3 linked regions of the Oryctolagus cuniculus genome follow. The main gene of each other region encodes a partner of the protein of the gene in region 3 in a complex. Links are inferred from orthologs where the notes say so. Each region holds a gene or a part of one and is shown on either strand. Other genes may lie near its edges.

Evidence for each region.
Region 1: ITPR1 (region 3) and PRKG1 share a complex: the UniProt entries of both Homo sapiens proteins name them as parts of the cGMP kinase signaling complex. The link is inferred for Oryctolagus cuniculus from reciprocal best matches to the Homo sapiens genes ITPR1 and PRKG1.
Region 2: ITPR1 (region 3) and CNN1 share a complex: the UniProt entries of both Homo sapiens proteins name them as parts of the cGMP kinase signaling complex. The link is inferred for Oryctolagus cuniculus from reciprocal best matches to the Homo sapiens genes ITPR1 and CNN1.

The regions. Positions count from the first base shown.
Region 1 is NC_091446.1:45,335,565-45,338,994, reverse strand, and holds part of PRKG1 (cGMP-dependent protein kinase 1), read right to left. Parts: intron 3,277-3,430; coding exon 3,210-3,276; intron 1,683-3,209; coding exon 1,584-1,682; 3' UTR 1-1,583. UniProt on the Homo sapiens protein: Serine/threonine protein kinase that acts as a key mediator of the nitric oxide (NO)/cGMP signaling pathway. GMP binding activates PRKG1, which phosphorylates serines and threonines on many cellular proteins.
Region 2 is NC_091447.1:66,349,638-66,353,793, forward strand, and holds the start of CNN1 (calponin-1), read right to left. Parts: upstream 2,848-4,156; 5' UTR 2,753-2,847; coding exon 2,690-2,752; intron 831-2,689; coding exon 709-830; intron 1-708. UniProt on the Homo sapiens protein: Thin filament-associated protein that is implicated in the regulation and modulation of smooth muscle contraction. It is capable of binding to actin, calmodulin and tropomyosin. The interaction of calponin with actin inhibits the actomyosin Mg-ATPase activity.
Region 3 is NC_091441.1:120,982,571-120,986,216, forward strand, and holds part of ITPR1 (inositol 1,4,5-trisphosphate-gated calcium channel ITPR1), read right to left. Parts: intron 3,546-3,646; coding exon 3,365-3,545; intron 2,204-3,364; coding exon 1,950-2,203; intron 1-1,949. UniProt on the Homo sapiens protein: Inositol 1,4,5-trisphosphate-gated calcium channel that, upon inositol 1,4,5-trisphosphate binding, mediates calcium release from the endoplasmic reticulum (ER).

The sequences.
Region 1 (3,430 bases), on a different chromosome or scaffold from region 3:
CTTGGAAGGCTATACGTTTGTCTGCATACATCTAATGCTATTTGTCCAGGAAAAGCTTCCAAGTGGCTCAGCCGCTAATGAAAGCTGCCAGTGGTCAACTGGGCTCCTGACAGAGAACTGAGCTTTACTTGCAGACGCTATGCCAGATGAAAACAGCAAGGAAGTTTGCTAATTTCAAATCTAGTCTTGTCTAGTGAGTATGAGATTTCAGAATTGTAATATTTCTGTTCACTTCAGCTAAAACTTATTTTTGACAAATTTTCTATTCCCATCCTACTGTGACAGGTGCATGAGCTCAGCCAGGTTCTTGTCTTGTACCGTGACCTTAATAAATAAGAACCCTGGTCTGGTACATCTTAATAACTCTGACTTTGTGCTTTCTATTTTATTTTTATTTTTTGGTTCAGGCCTAAGACAAGAAGCTAGTTCAGTTTTGTAATCACCTATCTCTCTGTCTCAACCCTAGATACGTTGTATACGTGAAATCTGACAGAAGTTGGTTTAACAAATTTAGTGAAAGTTCTTGAGTCTCTGGCTACGCATGTAATGATTAGAATTTGTGTTGTCTGTGTAGACACTGACATTACAGATGAAAGATATACATAGCACCTATATCGTTTTTTTTTTTATTTTTTTGGATGGGTCTTAATCCCTCCCCACCCTACCCTATCCCCATCCCACGGGTATATTTTTATAAAAGGGAATATTTTAAGCCTCAGTTTGAGGGTTTGTTAGGTAATAAATAAAACCAATTGGCTGCTAGTCATTTATTTCCAGGACCCTCTTTAAGCATGGTACTTTAAAAAATATGAAATGGTTTCATGAATTGCTTTTTTTAACCACTCTGTCATGCCAATTTATTAAAAAGAAACAAATATCATGCATCTTTTTCCATCCTCTGTAAAAACGCATATATACCCGCTATGAGAGGTCTCAGCGTAACCCATAGCAGTTGTGCTTTTTTTCATCAATTTTTTAACTCTGTCAGAAAGAAAAGGTAACATTCAGTCTTGTCATCAGCACTGCTGGGAAATAAAATCATGAAACTTCTAGCACTGGTTTGACATGAACTCTGCGACCAACAGATGTGTGGTCCTCTCTGGTACGGTATATACACCAGCTTGCAGGAACAGACCCCACAACCATCAGTTGAAGGAGGAGAAGATCCCCGTTTCTGTACCATGGGAATCTGTCGTACCCAATCTATTACTCTTCCTCCTCTTGACAGTTCTAGCAAGGTACAGCCTCTGACTAGATTGAAGTGTTTCCTACAGTCTTTCAGAATATAATCAGAGCAAAGCAAGATCATTGCAACAATAGAAAATCTCTCTTTCCTGGTGAAAGGCTTTGCTTCAGGACCACCATGTCAACTGCTATTTTAGATTCAAACAGAAAACATGTAAAGGGCACTACTGTCATCTAAGCAAGAAGTCCTAATGCCACTGGAGTTACTGGAGCAGCATCGATCAAAGGCATCATGGTGACCCCGAGCACAAATCTTCTCTCTGTCCCTCAGGTTTGCTGGCAGCTGTGTCTCAGCAAAAGCTGTCTTCAGCAAGGCAGAAGCAGGTAAGAGAAACGCATTAGAAGTCTATGTCCCAGCCTGAGTTGTCGTCAGGTGGTGGTTCATCATTGTCCTCAGGGAAGCTGTCAAAGTTGCTAGTGTCTGTGGGTGATGCAACCTGCGAACGAGAGAGAGGGAACGCTCAAAAGTGTTCTGCTTTTTAAAGCTGGGTTCCAAGCTGGAATTGCAGAAAGCTTCTTTATTCAATCCTTTTCCAGGGATGATTTTTTTGAGTGTCTACCACATCAGAGCAGACACTGTACTTTGCATTAGGGGTGATGGTGGTAAGTAAAAATAGACATGGTCCTTAGCCTCTTGAGGTTTATATTCCAGTAGTAATAAATGTTACGGTTAAAAAGAATCGTAATAATCTACATGATGATAAACTTGAGCTAGTGCTGTGAAAAAAAAAAAAAACACACACACACAATGCCGTGAGAGTCTAAGTGTGATCGTGTTTAGTCTCTGTTGGAGACTAAACCTAAGAATCAATGTGTTGGATAAAGAAGGAATAGTACATTCTGAGGTCCTTAGATGGGAGCGAGACCCATGCTTTAGCGGCCCACTTGACTGCTGCAGAAGAGGGGGAATGAGCAAAGTAGAATGCGGTGAGGCTGGAGAAGCAGGCGGGAGCCCCATTACCTAGAGTCTGTAGGCCGTCTTAGGGAGTTTCTACCTTTATCGATACTAAGTATAATAAAAATCCTGTTCTCAACCTCAGCAAAACTCCCATGAATGGACTGGGGAAAGTCTATTCTGGAGAGCATCAGTGGAGCCCATTTAATGTTACTGTTGAAGGAGACTCCTGCTGTATTAATGGTAGGATAAAACAGGTGGAATATTTACCCTTCTAGCTTCTTACTGTTGTTCTAAAAGCAGAATTACAAGCATGCAATTAACATCTGTAATGTGAGCCATAGTAACAGCAGTTTTGCTTTGTTTATGAAGAAACAATATTGGCACAAAAATACATCTTGGAAATGGCAGAATTTTTCAGTACAATGAAGAGTCTTGAGTTAGTCTCGAGAGAGGCCTTTTATAAATACAAGTCTCAGGACCACAGAACAGCCCTCTACACGTCAGGATGCCTCAGATTTTATTAAACAGATGTGGTACTGCTTACAAATTGTAAATGCAATCAATTCAAAACTATGCGTGACAAAAAATCCCAAGGTAGTAAGAAAAGAGCATCTCTCAGAGCCCGGTGGAAGGATGAGAGGACACAGTTGTGCCTGGACTGCGTCCAGTTTAAGGGAGAAGGATGGGAAGAACCACGTGGGAACGTGAATGAAACAGCACTGGACAGCAAGAGTGGCTGCTGAAACCAGCTGCTGCAGAATAATCATGCTCATTGGTCTACATCCTTATGTGTCTAACATTTCCCATACTAAAAGTTAACTTTTACTGAGATGAGAAATTTGAAGTAAAAGAAATAGCTAAAAAAAAAAATGAAATACCTATACAATAACTATCCCCAGTTGCTTGGTTTTTAGGATATATCATGATTTTAATGTAGCTCTTCTGCAGTAGTTCATTTAATCTGATCATAGGATAAAACTTAAAAAAACCATGAAGAGATCTTTACTGACCAGTAAAGCATGCCAACAAATATCTCCCACAATTAAAAGTTGGGCCATCTACTTACACTTGGTATTATAGGAGGTGTCAAGGTGCCTTTTCTTAAACCTTCCCAGTTAAAGCCTTCAAACCATCTAGAAGAAGAGAGAGGTAAAGTCATTTCACTCCATCTAAACCCTTGTCATTACAACACACACCATATTTGTATTGATAAAAAGCAGTTACACAAATGTTTTCATGTGATAAAGTATTTTCTATTTAATTGCAGAATTGGCTCATTGTATGAAA
Region 2 (4,156 bases), on a different chromosome or scaffold from region 3:
CTCTCTCTCCCTCTCTCTCTCTCTCTGCCTCTCTGTAACTTCGCCTTTGAAATAAAATAAATAAATCTTTGAAAAAAAAAAAAAAAAGCTCCTGTGTTCAGTGTCCCCAGGTACCAAGACCAGAGCCTGGCACACAACAGGTGCGCGTGATGCTTGATGCTTGTGGTGTGGACTTAGGGGCGGGGGCTGTGTGTCTGAGACCTGCACAGCCCCCCAGGCCCAAGTCACCAATGTGTCCTCCTTGGTCCTCATTCCCGGTGAACGGGGACGGACCAAGACGCACAGCCCCTGCCTTCCGTAAGCTTCCCAAGGACACGCTCTGGCCCTCATGGTCACCCTGCCCTGTGCAGATCGGGCCTGGCTGGGCTCAGGGGAGCCGCAAAGTCATGAGGGCCCACTGGTGACCCCGCGCGTTTTCGCGGTGACCTCCCTTTCTTGGGTCTCTGGAGGCCGTCGGGGGGATAGGCCCCAGGCAGCACAGCGGCTAAGTCTGCAGCTGTTCCCACTGGAATAGCGAGGCAATGTGTCAGCTGACCCAGCCTCAGTCTGCCTGGCCTGTTAAACGGGCACAATGATCCTTCGACTCCCCGAAGAACGCTCTCACACTGGATAGAAAGCGACTGGCTCAGCTCCAGGCGCAGTCACTTGTGGAGGGTTGGGGACAGCACAAGGCAGGCAGGGGCTGGGCCACGAGGGCCCCCCACTCACTCGCAGAGGATGATGCCGTCTTTGAGGCCGTCCATGAAGTTGTTCCCGATGCGGCGGCCCGTCACGCCCTCGATCCACTCCCGCAGCTCCTGCTCCCGCTGGTGGTCGTACTTCTGGGCCAGCTGGGGGTGGGGGACACAGGGCGGGCGGCGGGGGGAGTGGAGGCCTTGGCTCTGGGTGTCCAACCCAAGCCTCCCTCAGCCCCGGCTTTTCCTGACCAACTAAGGCGATTCTGCCCCCACGCCCAGGGAGGGGGGCGGGTGGGCTGGGGTGGCACCTGCCCAGGGGGCCATTCCGGGCATTCTGAGGTTTGGCACCGGAGGAGAGACAAAAGGGGGCAGGCGCCCAGAGCCAGGTCCTCGGAGCTGGGTTGGAGGGGGGGCGAGGAGGCGGCGCCTGGCCTCCTGGTTCCCCCTCCAGGCCAAACTTGGGGTTTAGCTTTCCCCTGGCCCTGCCCCTTTTCGCTCCCCCTGGTGGGAAGAGGGGGCACAGCAGACGGATGGGGAGGAGGGGAGCGCGGGAGGTGCCTGGTGCCGCCGGTTGACAGGGGACTGCTCTGTCTTACATCTCTGGCTGGCTGTCTCTCACTGTCCCCCACCACCCCCACCAAGATCCTGGCCCCTGGGACTGCGTCCCGGGCGAGGGGGGTGGGGGCATCTTCTTGCCTTTGGCTGTTGACCCACTGGGCATCCGTCAGTCTGTCCGTCCGTCTGGCTGGCTCTCTCTCCCCCAGCTGCGTCAGTCTCCCCCCCACCCCCCCCCCCGTCTCCATCACGCTGGGGGTGGGGCTCCAGCATCTCTGTCCCTGTAGGCCCCCCTCTCCCGCCTTAACTCCAGCTTCCTGGCATCCCCTGAGGGTGGGGCAGGTCTGGGTGCCAGCCGGTGCCCCTGCATCCCTGTCCCCGTCTCATCCCGCGCCCCGCCCGCCCCTCCATCCGAGCCTCCAGCTCCCGGCATCTCTGTCTCCACCTCCCGTTTATCCAGAACGTTCTGCTCTGGGGACAGGGGGCATCCAGCTGCCCCTTCTCCAGGCTGGACGGGGAGCCGGGGGAGGGAGCGGCCCCCTCACCTGGCCCCGGCCCTGCCGCCCCCCTCCCCACCAGCCCAGCTTTATAAAGCAAACCGGCCCTTATATAGCGTGGCCGGACTCCCAAGGCCGCCTTATATGGCTTGGCGGCTCCGCGAGGCTCTGGGGCCGGCACTGGGAGGGGGGGAGGAGGGGGGTGGCGCTGGGATCTGTCTGCAGCCCAAGCATCCGCCCCCTCCGCCAGCCCCAACGAGACCCACCGACCTAGGTACCAATCCCAGCTCCCGGGTTCCTCGCTGCGGGACCCTGGGGAAGAGCCACCCTGACCCTCAGTGTTCCTCTCTGTGAAATGGGGCTGGGGGGCGGGGACGATTGCAGCGGGGTGGGGAATTCGGGGTCTCTGCCCTGGAGACTCCGGCTCTAGCAGTGCACCTGCCCGACCTTGGCCGCTAGCTGTTTGTTCATCCTCAGAGGCTCCGTGTACCCATCCCTAGCATGACAGTGGTGGCATCACAGCGTGTTCTCACCTCTGCACTTGGGAGCCCTCCGCCCTCCGCCCCCCACCCCCAGCCGTGTCCCTCTCCCCTCAGGTGGCCTCGCTGGGAGCCTGGCCTCTCCAGTGCTCCCCAATTTCTTGGTCCAACTGGGGGGGGGTGTGGAAAAATCAACAGGCCTCCCCCTTCCAACCCCATCGGGGCACCCAGGTTTCACACAGGCCTCCCATCCACGGTGGGACGCACACCTCTGTTTCGGGGTGACTGTGGGCCCCCCGCTGTGCTCCTCCTGATAACAGCTGAGGGTTCTGGGGTGCTGACAAGGAGGAGAGAGGCAGCCCCCACCCCTACCCCAAGCCTCTGCCCCTTCCCCTCTCAGGTTCCGGATCACATGGGGCAGGCGGGGGGGTGGGGGGACGCAGGGCACGTGGGCCAGGCCAGGGAGGCCCTGCAGCCCTACCTTGTTCTTGACCTCGGCCGACAGCCCGTAGGCGGGCCCTCGGTTGAAGTGAGCAGAGGACATGGCAGCGGGTGGGCTCTGGCTGGGCGCAGCCTGGACGCCGAGGAGCGGGGGCGGCGGCAGCTGAGGCTCCGTCTGCACCCTCTCCGCTCCTCACAGGTTTTTGAAGCTCCGGAGGCGGCCCGGGTCTCTTCCAAGGCCGTCCCATTGGCCGCAGGGGCTGGCAAGGGGGCGGGGCGGGGCGCCTCCCCCCCCCCCCCGCCGCGGCCACCCCCCTCCCTCGTGATGTCAGGGGCTTGGTATTGGGAGCTGACTATGTCATTGTTTCCACCTCGAGGGGCAGCCTGCGTTATTCCGGGTGTGTGTGTGGGGGGGTCCTGGCCAGAGAGACCAGCTTTCCTCCACCGCTGCCCCCACTGCACCCCCCCACACCTGCCCTGGGGCCCGGTCTCCAAGTCTCTGTATCCGAGGTCATCTTTGGGGCTTGAGGCAAGACCGCCACCCATGCTGACATAGCAAGCAGCCCCCTCATTTCAGACACCAACAGTCGTGCCTCAGTCAAATCCTTTGACCTCTCGGGCCTCCACTGCTGTGTCTGTGAAATGGGTTCATGGGGGGTGTTGTGAAAAGCAGGCGGCACGGTGTCCCTGCAGTGTCCCCAGCGCAGCGCCCGGCACGGGCAGTGGCTCAGGCAGGAGCATTACTCTGTAGCAGGTCCAGCAGCCCAGGTCCGGCTCCTCCTAAGGACCTGGGGGAGCAGACATCTTGGCTCTTGCCCCCTCCATGCACCTGTGCTCACCTGAGCCACCGAGTGTTTCTATTAGCAGGTCCCTGGCCACAAGCGCCCCCGCGGAGCGCTGTCCCCGAGTCTCATCTTGTACCACGGGGGTAACGCTGCACCCACACCGCACCCCCCACGCCAAGGCCATGCCAGGGGCAGCTGGACGTCAACAACCTGCCACACGCTCCTGACATGCCAAGGCCACAGCCCCCGCCCCCAAGTCCACACCACAAGCATCACGCGCACCTGTTGTGTGCCAGGCTCTGGTCTTGGTACCTGGGGACACGGAACACAGGAGCTTTTATTTTTTTTTCCAAAGATTTATTTATTTTATTTGAAAGGCGAAGTTACAGAGAGGCAGAAAGAGAGAGAGAGAGAGAGAGAGAGAGAGAGAGAGAGGTCTTCCATCCGCCAGTTCACTCCCAAGATGGCCACAATGGCTGGAGCTTCGCAGATGTGAAGCCAGGAGCCAGGAGCTCCATCCGGGTCTCCCACATGGGCCATCAGACCCTCTTCTAAAAAATACTTATTGATTCGAAAGACAGGGTGATGGGGGCGGGGCAGGGGAGAGGAAGAGACAGACAGACAGACAGTCAGAGGTATCTTCCATTGGTTGGTTCACTCCCCAGATGCCCACAACAGCCAGGGCTGGGCCAGGCCAAAGCCAGGAGCCTGGAGCTCCACCC
Region 3 (3,646 bases):
TTAAGTTCAGAGGCATGTGACACTGCCAAGGGTAGAGAGCATGCTAAAGAGACGACTGTGTGGTCTGGACGGTGAGTTGGAGACAGTTCTCCTGCAAAGGGTATAACAGGCTGGCGACAGCCCAGGGCCTGGAGGGAACCTGTTTCCACCACTAAGGTGAGGGGCAAGAGGAGTGTGCGAGTGTGTGCTTGTGCGTGCACTTCCAAGGATGTGTCTTCCAGGTACGGAGGATGCCGATGGGGGGTGCAGAAGCAAGGCACGTCCTCAACAAAGCAGGGAGAGCAGGCTCACTGCCTCACCAAACAGTGAACTGCAGCGAACAGGTTTTTGGCAGATTCCAGCATCAATTCTCAAAAACAAGCAACAATTTACCACAATACTCTTTTTCTTTTTTCCCCCCAAAACCTTCTATTTCAGGTATACAAACTTCATGCATTTCACAAACATAACTTGAGGAACACGGTCATTCTTCATCTCACTGTTATACAAGGGGTGGACCTGGTCACCCCACTTCTAGGAAACACTTGCATCCACTCACAGAGCATGTGCTGGAGCTCACTGTTCACCGTGCAACGGTGGGGGACAGGAATCAGCCTAAAGGCCCACCGGCAGTGCACTAAGCACGGGAGCCGCCAGCATTAAGAGCACCGACGGGAAGCTCCACATCCATTCCTGTGTCCCAGCATAACCCGCTCCAGGGCCAAGTAAAGAAAAGCAAAGAACACAAGAGTGTCCACCACACGCTCCCATCCAAAGGCACAGAAGAGGACTGACAGATGCAGTCCAGAGCAGCACAGCTCTCTGTGCAGAGAAGCTCCTGTCACTGAAAACTTGCTTTCACTGAAACCTTTGGAAAAAGGACACACTCCTGTATTCTTGGCACAATTAAAGTATCTGTAACTGACAACTGAGTTGAACACCCAACACATCATCAAATAAACATCCCTTCCCCCCACAACTTAACCTAAGTCCCTGCACTTAACAGCCATCATCAGGTCCAGGCCGAAGTGGGAGATGGAGCGTGTGACTCTTCCTAACGGCCACAGGAGCCAGAGGGCTTCCCAGGCACGTCTAGCTTGCTGCAGCTCCCATGGCAAGACGGCTGGTCGGGCCTGCGCACACTAGGGTTGGGGAGGAACACTCAGGGGAGGAGCAGAAGAGGAAGGACCCTCCGAGACTGACGTTGACAGTATCGCTCCCAACGCCTGACTGCCTCACGGCCCCACCACACCCCTCGCTGGTTGAGACCATCTACCTGCCTGATGACACTTGGCCACTGCGGCCACCCAGAACCAACAACAAAATGAGCACAAGGTATCTGGAGCAGTCAGTCCGTCAAAGATCTGAGCACCCGTTTGCATGACACACTGGAAGTAGCCACACAGCCCTGAGCAACAAGGACGTCATGAGTCGAGTCCGTCACCGTGTGCGCATCGTGTCCCTGACCCAGCCCTCCCCCAGGTTGTGCTACAACCGGCAACGCAGCAGAGTGCTGCCACCAGAACTTCCCATTGCCGAGGTTTTGTCAACCTCACCTAGCTGACGCACTTGCTTACTTGGCCCTCCGTCACCCATCCAACTTTAATCCGAGAACCCAGATGCCAAACTGTGGCAGATCACCAGACACACGTGCACACGTTCCCGCACACGTTCCCGCGTTCCCATGCATACTAAGCAAATACACAAGGGGTCTCCACCAAGTTCATGGCAATGTGTATTACTGAAAAACTATGCACGGACGTCAAAACATTTTTTATCAAAATGAACCTATATTTAAACTAAGTTTTCTGTGAACTTTCTGAAGTCCCCTTGCACACAGAGCAGGTGGGGGAGACTCAGGGTCCCTCTCTAGCCCTGTGGAGACAGTGGGACAATGATTGGAGGGAGGGGTGAAGAGGAGGGGAAGTGGGAGGGGGTGGGGGAAGGCCTGATTGCCCCGCCCATCTCACCTGCAGGTCTCGGTTGTGGTTTTCACACAGCAGCTGCAGGAAGCGGAGGATGGGCTGCATGATGGTGATGACAGCGCTCATCTCCAGCTCGTCCTTGGTCTTGTCGGCCGTGGCCTGTGCGCCCTCGCCCGGCTGATAGTGGTCGTCTGGGTCAGCCTCCCTCCTGAACGTGGAGAAGGCCTTCCTGGTGGCAGCGGACGCCTCCAAGAGCTGATCCCGCACCTCCTCCGTGATCTGGGTTGAGGGCTCCTTGGCTGCAAGGCAAGTGTGGGACAGCAGGTGCAGCTGTGTCCTTAGGACGGTCAGCAACCCGAGACCCCATGCTCACTACAGACCCGTGAAGTTAGGGCCTCCCTCAGTCCCTGGACAGCACTAACACTGTGCGTCGGACCTGGACTCCTGGCTCCCAGTTTTAACACTGATCTTAGCCTGCACACAAGTCCTGTCATCCTCACAACACTAAGGCTCTGGGCCTCAGCTTCCTCGCCTGCGCAATGGGACAAGTGAATTCTGCCTAGACAAAGTCCCTGTGAGGCTCCAAAGCCTGCTCATCACAACAATAACTGCTGTTACAGTATCACCACTGATTAACCCTTTCCCAGGTGCCACGGCACCGTGACCCAGAACTTGGTGTGTAGTATTTCACCCAATTGTCAGACTAGCCCCAGAAGCTAATCATGGCCTGAGGGTGAGCAGAGAAGACTGGCTGGGTTCCAACACCAGCTCCCCTGGGCCCTGAGCAAGTGCATCCCCATCTGTGAGCCTCACCTGGCTCAGCTATGCAGTGGGGTAACAGTAAGGGGCGTCTCACAGCAGGCACCTAGGGCATGCAGACACCCTCTTCCCTCGTCTTCCTTCTTGTCACTCCACTCTAGACCAGGGGTGATGTCCCCCAACCCCAGCCAGGGCACAGCTGCACTGCATGCTGACAACCTGGGCTGGGGAACGAGGCCACGTGTGCTGCACAGGACACATCTGGCAACACGGCAGCCTCCAGGTGTCACTGGTGCTATGGCAGAGAAGCCGAGTCCCCAACTGGGCCAGTGGGGTTCAGGTTCCCAGATGTCAATCAACACACTTTTGGCCTTCTCACTCCAGCCCCCTGGGCCTGGCCACACCCTTGGCCTTGGCTGACTGGACTCCCAGGGAGACTACAGACAGGAAGCTGTGACAACTCCCAAATATCTCACATGGTACAGGGAGGTCACCTGACAGGGGCCAGCTTCCTCTGACACGAAATGGGAGCCGCAGGACCAGACTCTGGGTGGACCCTCAAGCTTGGTCCAGAAGAAGGTGCCATGGCTCTGCAGCACAGGGCCTCAGTGAGAATCCCACCAAGCCAGGGAGGTACTCCTCTCCTTGGGGCCGGGGTGAGAAGCAGCGTGGGCATCTGGAAGCCGCAGAAGAGCGCTCACCTTTCTTCCGAGACGGGGCATCCCTGTCCACCTCGTCGTCTTTCTTCTTGTTCCCCAGGTCACTGGTGTTCACCGTCACAGTCGCCTTGATTTCCTGCTGGGCCACTTTCATCCTGTCGTAAAAGACCTTGAAGAACTTTTCCGACTTCTTATCTTCAGTCAACCGGCAGAAAAAAGAATGCTGGGAGGAAACCAGAGAATCTCAGCACGGAGAGCAAGGCCAGGCACCAAGTCCCACTCACGGCCCCAAAAGCACAAAGAGAACCCAGCCAGCCCACAACC